Styela clava: one gene and its partner. The protein of the gene in region 2 binds, or shares a complex with, the protein of the main gene of each other region. Links are inferred from orthologs where the notes say so. Each region holds a gene or a part of one and is shown on either strand. Other genes may lie near its edges. The genes, in order: rapamycin-insensitive companion of mTOR-like and target of rapamycin complex 2 subunit MAPKAP1-like.

The links.
Region 1: the proteins of target of rapamycin complex 2 subunit MAPKAP1-like (region 2) and rapamycin-insensitive companion of mTOR-like are in contact, whole or in part, in a cryo-EM structure (PDB 7PE7), measured with the Homo sapiens proteins. The link is inferred for Styela clava from reciprocal best matches to the Homo sapiens genes MAPKAP1 and RICTOR. Residues at the interface, in NP_001006618.1 of Homo sapiens: Ala2, Phe3, Leu4, Asp5, Asn6, Pro7, Ile9, Ile10, Leu11, Ala12, His13, Ile14, Arg15, Gln16, Ser17, His18, Thr20, Ser21, Asp22, Asp23, Thr24, Met26, Cys27, Met29, Val30, Leu31, Ile32, Asp35, Val36, Ser84; in NP_689969.2 of Homo sapiens: Arg108, Gln137, Glu140, Thr144, Leu147, Arg148, Arg151, Lys152, Thr155, Arg182, Met183, Arg185, Ala186, Ala189, Cys192, Glu193, Leu196, Leu220, Arg222, Ile223, Glu225, Ala226, Leu227, Thr229, Thr230, His233, Asn236, Arg293, Trp295, Glu844.

The regions. Positions count from the first base shown.
Region 1 is NC_135255.1:15,846,208-15,853,580, reverse strand, and holds the start of rapamycin-insensitive companion of mTOR-like, read left to right. Parts: upstream 1-4,305; 5' UTR 4,306-4,339; coding exon 4,340-7,373. UniProt on the Homo sapiens protein: Component of the mechanistic target of rapamycin complex 2 (mTORC2), which transduces signals from growth factors to pathways involved in proliferation, cytoskeletal organization, lipogenesis and anabolic output.
Region 2 is NC_135251.1:20,789,121-20,796,294, reverse strand, and holds the start of target of rapamycin complex 2 subunit MAPKAP1-like, read right to left. Parts: upstream 3,261-7,174; 5' UTR 2,910-3,260; coding exon 2,724-2,909; intron 2,261-2,723; coding exon 2,101-2,260; intron 777-2,100; coding exon 649-776; intron 99-648; coding exon 1-98. Other genes in the region: N-alpha-acetyltransferase 50-like, read right to left, coding at 4,718-4,886, 5,135-5,321, 5,731-5,867, 6,261-6,295. UniProt on the Homo sapiens protein: Component of the mechanistic target of rapamycin complex 2 (mTORC2), which transduces signals from growth factors to pathways involved in proliferation, cytoskeletal organization, lipogenesis and anabolic output.

The DNA of each region.
Region 1 (7,373 bases), on a different chromosome or scaffold from region 2:
CATGAACTATTTGAAACCATAAGGGGTAAGTGAATATGCAATTTCGGCAGATGGCCAACTACGTATCGTACTGAATTATAAACTTCGTAGTATTTGACAAAAGCTGGCTTTCCCGCATGTACTTAACAGTGCGATGCCCGGGTGTGATATACAACAATAGTATTTACCTTACTTTTTTCCGATTTCTTTTTACCTTCAATTTTCCACATATCATTAAAAACCACAACAATTGTCGAAGCAGGCTCGAACACCATTCGTGCTATGCCTTGAAAGCAACACACATCCGCTCGTTTTCGTCTCGTCAAGTATGTGCATTGGAGCGTGCTATCGAATACGATCTTCGGCCAAAAATGCCGGAGTTGCGCATCATATTGGTCTGAGTTACTCTGCGATATGTCCTCAATTAAGAAAGGAAAATACGAAGATGAAAACAGAGTTGTCAAGTCAGGGTGGGAAGAAGAAAGAATACGCTTTTACCAGTCAGGAGAATTAACTCTTGTGGTTAATCTGCCATAAGCTACTAAGTCAGAATAATTAGAATAAAGTCAGCAATGTTAAACGGCACCATGGAACGAATCATGAAAACTTCTTACGAGACTACCCTCGTAAATCAGCAATAAGGAAACACAAATTAAATGAGCTCAAATTGTGCATATATTTGAGCATAGCTGCCTTATTTATCTATTTATTGTTATAAGACTCTTGTGTAAATTTCTTTTCTGTTCATGGTATTTTAATAATATTAATAAATTCACAAATTTTGCGGCTCATTTAAAGTTCTGATTTGCAGCATGCGGCTCTTATACTAAAAAATTGTGCCCACCCCTGCCATATATAGTCGCACGATATATATTATTAAGCATGCCCATGACCGGATTCTCTATTAAATTGACCCATTGAAATATCGGTCGTGCATAAATCACGACAAAACACCGATTTGGCAATTGGCAACTTTATTTAAATTACTTTCGTTAAATTCACGAAACGGAACTCATTTGCAACAATGATTGTTGTTATTTATCGCTGGTTATATATTTTTATATTTACGCAATATTTCTCGACTGCTCACAATTTTTCTATTTTGACCCATGTTGCCGCTCCGAATGGAGTAATTTGAAATCGTCAAATCGAATGAATATGCTTTTCGTTAATTGCCATTTTCAATAAAATTTAATTGAATCACATTTCCAACACTTGACGCCATGAATTTACGATCAACAAAAAACTGTTGATGCTTTTATTTTAGCCGACATTGATCCAATCGAACAGAATATCGTTATTACTTTCAAATCTACGCCAACTCGTCAGCGCCCGAATGTCTGGCATCAAATCTGTAACGGCGACGCAACATGACGTCGTCTTCGAAGTTCAGCGTGTGCGTCAGATGCTATTATTGTGATAAAAAAATTAATCGAATTTCAATTATTTATCGGTTCTCCTACGACATCTCGCGATCAGTCTAATTTCTATATACATTGATAACGCCCTCTATCGAATGTCGGTATTTTGACGAAGTTCATCAGTAGAAGTCACCATTTTGGGTGCATTTGAGCCGCTAGAAAACGGAGTGTCAATATTAGGATAGGATGCTACAACGCGATTTTTTTAATCAAAAAATAAATTAAACTGCGCGATCGAATATGATAACAGATTTAGATATATAAGGACTCACTATAGAAACTGCCAGAAGCACAATACCGGTATGGCGCAATTTAGTCGAGATATACCGTAAACGATTGAAAATTTGGGGGTCTAGTACCGTAAAACCGGCTAACTTCGGATGGTTTCACTATACTTCAATCAATATCTCTGCCGTTTGTTGTCCAATTAGCGTCATATTTGGAATATATTACATTGATGCAATCTCTACACATGCATTTAATTTTCTCGCCGATCGGATCATTTTTTCTGTCTTAATTGTCTCATTTTTCACTACACCACTAAATATCTAACTTCGGATGGGGGAATCACCTCCGTGCGTGACCGCAACTCGAGCGAAAATTGCGTGGCGAAGACAAAACACGCTTTACGTGGTTGCGAAAATTCCAGATGTTCAATCCACGTCGCGAGTGGCGGTGATAATGATGACCGTAGGATTTTTGGTGCGGCACTTTCAAGTTGTTTTTATAATAAAATGTCTAGTTTCATTTTCTCTTATCGTACTACCGATCATAGCCGATTTTGCAATAGCCGATAATGTTTGGATAGCGTTTGTATATTCCAGATCGTATATAGTCGCACGATAAATATTATTGAGCATGCATATGACTGGATTCTTTACTAAATTGACCTATTAAAATGTCCGCCGTGCATAAATCACGACAAAACACCGATTTGGCAAATATTACTTTAGTTAAATTCATTAAACGGAACTCACTTGCAAGTGTTGCAACAATGATTCTTGTTATTTATCGCTGATTATATATTTTTATATTCACGCAACATTTCTTGACTGCTTACAATTTTTCTATTTTAAACCATGCTGCCGTTCCAAATGGTGGAATTTGAATCGACAAATCGAACGAAAATATTTTTCGTTAATTGCCGTTTTAATAAATTAAATTACATTTCCAACATTTGACGGCATGAATTTAAGATCCACAGGAAACTGTTGATGTGTATATTTTAGCCGATATTGATCCAACCGAACAAAATATCGCTGTCATTTCAAATATACGCCAACTCGTCGGCGCCCTAATGTCTGGCGTCAAATCTGTAACGGCGACGCAACATGACGTCGTCTTCGAAGCGAGCGACGTCAGGGTGACGTCGGTTCAATGTGTGCGTCAAATGCTATTATTTTGATGTAAAAAGACAATTTGAATTTTAATCGTTTCTCGAGTCTCCTGCGACATCTCGCGATCAGTCTAATTTTGTAATACATTGGTAACGCCCTCTATCGAATGACGGTGTTTTGACCAAGTTAGCGCAGTTAGAAGTCACGATTTGAGCCGCTCGAAAACGGAGTGTAAATTTTTTGCTAAAACGTGATTTTTCAATCAAATAATAAATAAAATTGCGCGATTGATCATGATAACAGATTCAGATATATAAGGACTCTCTAGAGAAACTACCAGAAGCACAATATGACGCAAAGTTACAAGGCATCCGAAGTTAGCCGGTTTTACGGTACCGTACCGGTATAGTTTAGGGGTCTGGTATAGTTTAGTACCACACGTACTTCTCTACTTCTAGTTGACCTGGCTCAACAATTTTTGCATATGTCAATCCTAACCCCCACCTAACTACGTCACCGAAAAACGTCATTTCGACGTCACAGTGGCGCAATAAGGCCCACCTAAGTATGCGGATGATCGTGTTGGTGAGGTCGTAGACTCGTAGTGACCTAATTTTTGGATGGCATAGTCAGGTGGGGGTTAGGAATAGCATATGCAAAATTATTGCTACGCCCACGGGAAGTACTTGTGGTACTAAACTATACTAGACCCCAATTTTTATAGTTTGAAGGGCCTTAAGTATAAGTATAAGTTTATTTCGACTCCATAATCAGCAATAGACGATAAAATAATAGATAAAAACAATTATGCCTTATTACCTGACTGTGACTTAATTTTTAAATGAAGCTGTCAGGTGGGAGTTAGGATTGACATATGCATATGGGCTTGGCGGTGTGCCGGTGTGGCGCTTCATGCTAAGCGTTAGGAATACGCTCGCCACTGCATCTATGATTACCCTTTGTGGGTTCGCAGGTTTGAATCCCATGCGGGGATGATCATGTGCGAGAGGATTGCTGGACTCCTCGTCGCCGTGGGGTGGTTCATGTAACCGCTGGTCGGTTACGGCTTCCTCCACCATCAAGTCCATGCTTCCGGAAACAAACAAATTACTAACTGATCCCATACCCGACATGGAATACTGGAATAGTAATCAGACGAGAGGTCGTGGCTCGCCATATGGTTAAGCCGTCTTATCGACTTTTCTCTGGCACGGGATAAATATGTAAATCCTATCCTATCCTTGTTATGCAACGCCCGCTAGAACAGAAGTACCGGCACTTGAGGTACGAAACTACACTAGATTCTGGTTTAGTTTGCTCTCCCGATTCTAGACTATAATCAGTTTTATATATTTTTGTTTTATCTAAAATTTTTAATTTATCGTCTATTATGCTGGTTATCGAGTCGAAATAAACTTATATTTATAATAATACTGTCCAATCCTGTTTTAAGATTGTGACTTCAGCATCTGATTACTGGATTAGGTTTGAAGTAAATCTAATTTTATTTAATATAGTACCAAGTACTATAACGTAAGATTTATTTTTCCTAAATCACTTACAGATTTATTTCAATATGTATAGTTTCGTGTAAATATCAAAATGAGTGGCTCAAGATATAGAAGCTTTCAATCAAGAAACGGAACTAGACGTATTCGTGAAAATGCTGGAGATACCATCCCTTTGGATATCACACAGGATCCTTATTTATTGCTTATGACAATTTTTCGAAGTATTCAAAGCAGAGGAAGCACTGCAAAAACTCTGCCACATTTGAACAATTTGATCAAAATACTATGCAATCGTGAAGACGCGACTTCTAAATTTTTAATTGAAGATATTATGATTTGTCTAAAACCAGCATTGGTTTCTGAAGTAAAGGAAGTTCGAGCAGCGTGCATTCGAGCTTTACGTTATTTAGTTAATGATGCACATTCAGTAATACTTTTGACAAAACTTCATTTGGATAGTTTTATAATAAAATGTCTAGACATAAGTCATTTCAATGAAGTCGAGAGAATTCAATGTTTGCGTCTAATTCGAAAGATTCTTCTCATTGCAAGAATCGAACGCAGAGAAGCTGGAGAAAAAACGAAAATGTCAATCATTCCTAAATCATTTGCTTTATGTATTATGTCAATTTCTGCTGATGGAGCTGTGGAAAGAGATCGTGTCTATAGAACCTGTCTTGCGATTTTATGTGAACTTGTTGTTTTAGAACCTTCATTAGTCATTGAAAATGGTGGACTACTTGTAATGCTACGTGCAGTTCTTGAATGCCATATGTACAGAAGGATTAACGAGTCATTGTGTATAAGCCTTGGATTAATGCTTAATCATCCATCCTCACGGAACCTACTGAAATTGACATTCAGTTTTAATGCGATATTTGCTCCTTATACTGACGTAATGTACCGTCTACATGCTGATGTGGAAGAATCACAAATAAGAGAAGAAAAAGAAATGAGGTTTTCCGCTTCAAAGATGGCGGTTGTTTCTGTTCTTCGTTCATGGTCTGGTCTACTTCACCTTTGTCAAACTTCTGCGATAAAATCTTTTTTAAGTACTTTGCTGATTCCTGATGCAGGTATTAAACGTGCTACTTTGTCTGTATTATTTGAAATCTTCTGCTTAAATGAACCTAAAGCTTCAGAAGATTTTATTGAATCACTTCTAAGCATTGGTCCCAGAATCTTTCAGGAAAGCTGGCAACTTACAAATATTTTTGTTGTTGGTGAAGGAAAATGGTTCCTTCCAAGCTTAAATAATGAACGATTAGACTTGACTAATTGTTATATGGCTGTGCTGCTTTCAATTTTTATTGAAGCCAATATTATACAGCGTTTGGTTTCAGTGGTTATGGGTCCTGATGAATGTGCCTCTATAATTGCTTGTATACTTCTAGGGAAAATTTTAAACCTTTCTGATAAATTACATTCTATGCCACAAACGGCGGAATTATGGATGACTAGTGCTTCATCTGCTTGTAAAGAATGCTTGCCAGATCTAATGAAACAAGCAACTTCACAGAGTGTGAGTAAAGAAGAGCGTTTACGTGCAAGTGTTGCTGTAGGTAGGTTAAGAAAGATACATAATTTTCTTAAAAATCGACCAGCGATGCATACAGTATATTTAGATGAGTTATTGCTTCGGGTCAAAGCTGCTGAAAAAGCATCAACAGAGGCAACCCAAGTGGAATCACCAGTTAGGCCTGGCTCTTCTATATCGCTGCGACGCCTCACTGTAAACCATGTTGAAGACTCGGATGAGCCCATGACAACATTATCAATTCGTAGAAACAGATCCCTTACAATTGTGCGTAACTTCGCTAGCGAACAGACATCCACAAGAATAAAAGACACACAAGTCATTGCAGAAAGGGACTTTACTAAGTGGGATTGGGAAGCAATAACATCATTTCTTGTTGAAGGGTGGTCTAAAAGGATGGTTAACACAAGAGAATCTCATTATATTGGCTCTGATGATACAGAATACCATTTTATCAAACGACTTGTTACTTTTTATATTCCGAGTGATGGAGAATTCTACAAAGTTGATAGAGCAAGAGAGGGCGAGGGAGATAAACCTCATGTGCAGTCAGGTTGCCATTTGGTGAGATATTTATCAACTACAGCTGGAGAGGGAATGAAACTATTATCTGTTTTGTTGAAAAGCATCGTCGAATATTTGGCAAAACTTATAAAAGATACAGACGGTATGAAAAAGGCAACAAGCACTTTTTTATCAAGTTGTGCAAGGGACTATTTTCTCTTGCTCGGAGCATTAACAGTTTGGCGCCATGGTAGTGAAATTTTGCGCAAGAATGGAGTGTTTGATTTTTTTACGTCACTCGCAAATGATGAAATTCATGAAAATTTATTAAAACTTGTAATATCAAGTTTATCTTTTTCTGGGGAAAGTCTGAGTTATTTTTTCTTGAAGCAAGTTCTTGTAACTTGTAATGAAGCAGCAAGATTGTATGCAACTTGCTATTTACGAATATTACTTAGAGCTAAAATGCCTGGATTTATCAATTGGGGGGTTCATTTACTAATAACACAACTTTATGACTCGAGCCAAACTGTTGCCACTGAGGCACTTGATGTTCTTGATGAGGCTTGTGCTGATCATGAATACTTGAACGTTGTTGTTGGTCTTCGTCCCGGTTTGCTACATCTTGGTGAAAAAGGAGCGCTGCTAATTTGTCGTTTTGCGTCTCATCCGCTGGGTTTTGAGTATCTTTCTGCAAATAAATATCTGTTGAGAGAGTTGGACCGATGGTGGGATTCTGCCAATGATCTCTATGTATCAAGAGTAGAAGAACTGTTGAATATCTCACTAACATGCTATGAAAAACCTACTCAACAAGGTGGGTTTGTGCGACGATCAGGAATTAAGAAAGTTGTCCAGCCTGTTCATGTTCCTTCACATTTATATGGAGAGTTGAGCCAACATGAAAGAGGATGCGAATTACTTGAAAAAAGGAATATTGTTCCAAGATTAGTTCAAAAATTACAGGATGGTTTGCACATCCATGAAGCCTTTTGTGGAGATGTAGATAACTTTGAATTTAATTTATCTTCTTACCAAAAGATAGCCGAACACTTGGTTCAAATAAAAAGCAGTTTATGGGCCT
Region 2 (7,174 bases):
CTGAACTTGACTCTGCTCAACGTTGTGGAAATATCATCACTCGTGAAAACTTCATCATCATTCAATCTTTTCTTCTCAAACATTGTGTTTAGTTGTTCCTAAGTTAATTCAGGATAGAAATGATACAGAAATAATAAACATCAAATGATGGTGGATGATAGAAATATTGAGTTTATCATGTAAATCAAAGTTTCCTGTATTTGTCATCATATTGGTGAGAGCTGGAAATGCTGCCTAATACGAGTATGTTTTTGCAAGAGGCAATAAAATTTTAATTGTCTTTCCTGACAGAAATGGATTCAGGCATTCATCGGCAATGCTCAACCAAAGGACGCATTGCAATCAATCATTAAAGATCGATCACATTCTTTTCATATCGTCATGGACCCTTGGTGAAGCCATTGCGTGGTTTGGGAAACCCTGATGTAAAGAGAGCTATTGTGCTATAGTAATTTCAAAATGGTTTATAAATAGATGGCTATTCTATACTTTACAGAAAATGTTAATTGAAATTTCACAAATATTTTACTATTCTCGACTGATTAACCAACCAACCAACCTATTATTGCAAAGCACAAATAAATTCATAAATAGAATTGATATTGAATTGCCTCTATGCCTCAAGCGCCATAGAAATCTAAAGTATACCTCGGTTATCTTTGGGTTCTTTTTTCTCCAAGGCACATTGTTTACTTTGACTCTACTTTGTCTCTCTTTACGAATTCTCTCAAGTTTCTGAGCGGTGTTTGATCGTCTACGAACCCCAAAATCCCAACCTGTAGAATAATACATTTGTTTAGCTTTCATGCCGTGCATCAACTCGGTTAAAATGCAAAACCAATCGTAAAAATGATGGATTTTTAGGATTTTGTAGATGTACAGAATATGTAGGTTCAACTTCCAGATACAATGATTATTGAAAAATACTGCTGTATCATATTTGACTATTACTAACATAATCGTTTATAATGGAACAAATAATATTTTTGTCCAATTAGTTATATTTATAAATGTTTCAATTATTAAATTTCTGTGGTATGACAAAAATAACAGTTGACAAAACAATAACTAGGTATACAGGCAAAACTAAATATCGAAAAAAAATTTGTTCAGATAAGGTGAAAATAAGAAAGTTATAGCTTGTTTATATTTAGCCTCCATACGTATCATATTGATCTATACTACCATGTTCTTTTGTTGCGACAGATTAAAAGTGAAATCGCCTATTTGGAAAAAAATGCTTTCAACACCAGTAGTATCATCTATAACCATTTATCAGATTTGGCCATCAACCATACTGGATTCCATGGCAGGTGCACACCAGAGGGCGCTAGCACTCCGCAAAAATGCACGCCAGCAAATTAAATTTTGCACGCCGAAAAGTTGCAATTGCTCACCAATGAAAATTGATTTAAATGGCTTTTAAATTAATAATCCAGTAATATAAAGATGCCAACAAATTGTAGCTCCACAATTGTCGACTATATACTAGCTTGCAAGATTTCGCCTGATCGAAAAATGCGAAGCAATAAAGACCGTATTACAAAATTGCTTAGCGGTATGGCGTATCGTGTTGAATGATAGGAATCCCGTGAGAATAGTTATGGACGAAAAGATCGCCAGACTTGCCGGCGCTGGTCAGTTACGGCTCTGATTCTACATATTTTTTATACAATAATTTTACACGGATGTACCTAAAGTCTATCTAAAGTTGCACAAACACTCTCAAAATTAGTGACGAAGTATAGTAATAATATTCGGGGTCAAAGGTCGAATGTCCATTTTGTTCTGATTCAACATATTTTCTATCCAATAACTTTACGGGGATGTACTGAACAGTATCTAAAGTCGAAAATCATTGCACGCGGGCACAGTTGTTTTGCACGCTGTGAGCTATAATTGCAAGCCGGGAATTCAGATTTGCACGTGAGAATTTCTGATTGCACAGCCGATTTCTCGTTCAAAAAGGCCATGAAATCCAGACTGGGCCATCAAAACCCTCTATACAATGAAAACAATTCTGTCCTTCAACATATAGTACTTCCTCATGTATCAGTAGTAGCTCATGAAGGTAAAAAAGCCTCATGAAAAATTTCAAACCAGAAAGAATATCAGGTGATGGAGCAAGAGGAGAAAGTGCTTCAGATGAATCAGCATCGATAACAGGATTAGAAGATGAAGTAGTTGACGATTCTGATGGTGTTCTTCGAGGAGATCCAACAGGTGTTGATCTTCCAAATGATTCAGGTAAACCTTTTTTCTGGAATATCAATGATATTCTGTAAATATCTTGTATTATTATTATTGGGTCTTTTGTCAATCAATCCTTCATTCCATACTGGACCATACACAACAACGAGTTTCTATGTCTTTAGCGTTTGACCCACTATACAAAATATACTATGTTAAGATATTATTTTGAAACTTACTAAAAAAACAGAAATAAGCGAAATGACACAATATTTATCATATAGATCCAGATGAACTAAGCCATTATTGCATTTATTTTATCATAAATACAAGTTCAGAAGTTAAGATACCGTACTCAAGATAAATACAGAAATAGGATACCTATCAAATAAAACAGCTGTTCCCCTACCTCAACAATGACTGTTCATAAGAAATCAAAAGCTAAATTTGCAATAATACCAGAACGTCTGAACGAAGAGACATCAATTTCAGAAATTTTTATTGTTTGAATTTACTAGAAAATTTAAACTTACTTGATTCTTTTTCGCCCTTTCAATGCGCTTAGCTTCTTTTAACTCTTTAATTCTCAACCTGTGTTGTGACAGTGTCATCATATCGTTGTCCTGAAGAACCATTTCGCACATTCCTGTGTCATCGCTTGTAATGAAGGAATGGCGAATGTGATCCAAGAGCCAGTCTGGATTGTCTAACATCGCCATGCTTTGGTAAAATAAATACCAGCATTTGTTATCTCATCAAGAATTTTCCCGCGTCGCTAATGAATAGAAAATCAAAAAGAGCACAAGCAAACCCAAACTCATGAACTCTCTCGCCGGTTCGCACTCGCGTAATTTTCTTATTTCAGTGTCTTTTAGTCTTCGAAGCCAGACTGACAACACCGCGGTTTTCCCAGAGGTGCATCGAGTCTCCATATACTGTATTAGGAGTCATAACATTTCAAACCGTGCGCGACTACCCGCCTGTGATGAAACCATTAAACTGTTTCCATCCTTCCCTTTCTTTTAGCCAAATATGAAAGCCCCTATTCGCTTTAATTATTGAAGTTGACAATTGCTTACATTCACCAATATCAATAAACGACCGGCAGTTAAAATCTGGTGGAATTGTTACTCTTTAGGATTTACCGCCGTTTTCCTTTCCCACCATTTAGCGGCCTTTTCGCTCTACCGTTCAAGCTGTTTTAATCGTAAATATATACTACTAATATGCGAAAAACACATCCAATTTTTTGTATCTCACTGTCAACGCTAAATAAACCAAGCTGTAATTCCAAGGACGTTTATTTGAAGCGATTCACTTTAAAATACAAGAAAAATAAAATATTTAGTCCGTTCCAAGTTCAAACAAACACTGGGCTCAATACAAGCGAGTACAGTGCACAATTACCTATACGTCTTGCAAGCAGGGTCAAGCATTAAACTCAATATGAAACCTTTCAAGGCACACTATCAATTCCCACATGAGTTCTCACGAAAATGTATATATTCATATAGACCTATGAATTAGTGACACTGTGACGACACTTATAAAACAAGAGAGCTATGCTCAAATATATGGACACATAATTTGGATGACGTCATAGCGAAAAAAAAAGTAATAGCCTTCTGGAGTAATTTTTCATCTTCAACCACTGAAAATTTCAAAGCAATTGGTCCAATATTCGAAGAGAAAAGCGATTTCTTCAAAACGTGTTAACGGAGACAAATAATAACAATAACAACAAAATTTTGAAACGATTGTTATGTCCACTACGTGTCCAACAAGTGAATATAACTGAAGATCATTAGCATCTAGGCCTTGGCCAACAAGAATCCTTCAATGTGATTTTAAAATATTATAAACACTCAAGTTCTATGTAAAAATCTTTTTTGCTTGCATTTGACCAATCATAATTAGGCTTGTACTCAAACACAGACGTTTATAGGAGTGAATATGAATGAAATATTTTGTCCCATGCCATTACAATTGATACCCAACCCCAATTGACCCATAAATGTCTTTGGAATGCTGACTGGAAAAGATGAACAGCAGGGGTTGTTCAAATAAAAATGACTTTTCTAGAATGGGATTTTCACACATACAGAATAGAACAAACATTTTATTATTCAAGGCATTTTTCTTTCTCACACTTTGTAAAACTTGTACACTGCACCATTGAAGATAAAATTTTTCATATAACAAGAGATTTTAGCATGTCCTAATTTAGGAATTTTGTTTAAAAGCCAATTGCTAATGTATTTTCAGTTTGTCAACACAGTTTACATAGCAATAGCCAAGAATGAAATGTAACTCAATGATGAGAACACTCCCTGGCATGCACAGAGCTGCATACGTACTGACAAAAATTTTCTAAATAGATACGACACACCAAAACTGAAGGCATTGTTTTTATAAAACTAAATATTTTTATATTTAAGACTGTTGTAACATGCATGGAAGAGCTTCAACCAAACCACTGGAGTTGGAACATAAATCAAATGAAAAGTGCTGAGCAATCTGAATGGAATCAAGGCTTCCCATTGAATGTAGCTCCAGCACAGTTCTCAAGCTTTTTTTCTAATACATAGGCATCGGAAGGCTCTATTCTTTTGTAATAATGGCTTTCAGTTTGAACAATTTCGAAACCGAATTTCATGTAGAAATCCAGAGCAGATTGATTATTGACTTGAACGTGTCTGAAAATAATAATCATAAACAGGAGTTAGTAGAAGCGCTTGAAACAAAAAATGTCATGAATTCATATTCAAGGTTAGAATAGTCTTGGCATGAGGAGCATTATTGAAAGTGTGGAATAGGTTGAATAGTTGATAATATTAAACTAGAATTCTCCAAAATTAACGAGGTATTCTTGAAAAAAAAATAAACAGCCCAAACCTTTGAGAATACACATTTGTTTCTAAACAACAGGAAATAAAATACTCACAAAAATATTGCTGTAATATTTTTATCAGCTTCACATATTTTGAAGACATGGTTGAGCAATACTGTACCAACACCATGTCTTCTGTAAGGTGCTAAGCAACCAAGCGTCATTATGTATAATCTCCTTTTTCCTTTTGAATTATCTATTCGACAACATACTGCACCAACCACTATATCATTGAAAAATGCTGAAAAACAGTATTTTCAAATGCCAAATACACAGATTTTCAAGTGTAATATAAGGATAGGATGGGATTTACATATTTATCCAGGGTGAGAGGAAAGCCGATAAGACGGCTTAATATATGGCGAACCACGACCTCTCGTCTGGTTACCATTCCATGTCGGGTATGGGATTAGTTACTTATTTGTTTTCGGAAGCATGGACTTGATGGTGGTGGAAGCCGCAGAGGTGCAGTGGCGAGCGTATTCCTACCACTTAGCATGATGAGCCACATCGCCGCGCCATATAACTTCAGTCTCTTATGAAAATAAGGAAAATTTAACTATCAAAATATGCCAATTCGCTTATAATTTGTGTGGTATAAATTATCAGTTTTGGACATTAGTGATTTGAATGAAAAAACATCATCTTACCGAGCTTTGCCAAGTCTCCAACATCAAGAACATCTTTATAAAATTTGTCATTGTATGAAACTGGAAAAATAACTTGATTCAAGAGTTTCAATTGTTTTATATTGTGTTGTGTGATATCTCCCAGTTCAATACGAACTCTAAAATAAAAAAAATTAATAATAATTTTAAATAAATCGAACAAATACTCAAAGATACATATAATTCCATGCATCTAACAGTGAAATGTACCAGAAAGCTTTGCACCAAACAGCAAGGTGCCACCAAAGATGCTAAGGATGACAAATTGATATATATTCATACTATCTCAGTAAAAGATGACCATAATATTACACAAGGTAATTCTTTGATTATTCGACAATCCATGTCAGGCTTGCAGATGTATGGATGTTGACATTACAGGGAGGGAACATAAATAATCAGTTTGTATGCATAAGAGTGATGTAACAGAACAGAAAGAAACCTTTGGTGAAATCTGGACATGGGTCAGTAGTGCAAGATTTTCGATTAACAAATTGAAAATAATAGCTTACCCATCCATTGCAGTAGGAACTAACAAATTCTTCATTGAAATTTCAAACGCTAGTTAATTTTCCACAGACCTTCACTGCAGTTGACGTCGATGAACAAGATTGTTGACAATTGTTTCACAATTAGACAATAAATAGTATGAATTCTAAAATAAGGGAATCGAAAAAAAAAAAATTTGAATACACAAAACTCAGTAAGAACATATAATCAGGGTCTCAACATTTTTCTGAGTAATGGAAGAACCAATTCACCAACACAAGCTATGGACAATATTCATGGTGACCCCATGAGTCCTGCGGCACTACGACGAATGCATTTCTATAGCGTTTCTTCTGACCAAAGTCATACTTTTCCAGACAAGCATACTTCAACAATGACAAAAATAATGATAGCATGCACATGAATAATGGTCATCAATTGTTGAATTTTGTTTCCAATAGTGAGAAAAAAAAATTGTGGACTCTCCAAGAACAATAGGGAAGTAAGTTAAAATGTAAGGAAATGTAGAGACTACTAGATCAAAGTCTTATTTGAGATTTTGTAACTTTGCCTTGGACAAATATTTCATTAAAAATCCAATTGAAACAGAGAAACAAAAATCAGCATAAGGTAAGAAAATTGTAAATGAATAAAACATGAACGATTTTCATTTCACCTTTTTTGCAAGTTTGTATATTATCAGATTGTAGATAAGTATACAGAAATATATGCATTTACAAACACATGATAGAGAAAAACTAATAAAATACACTGATTGAATAGTTGGTATGACCAGTGGCTTTCAACAATTTTGCATTTATTGATAAAAAAAAACAAATGTTCATACATAAGTGACACAAAATCCAAATGAATAAAACAGATTATAACAATACCTTTGTTAAGCAGTGCTGTTATATATATAATATATATATAATCT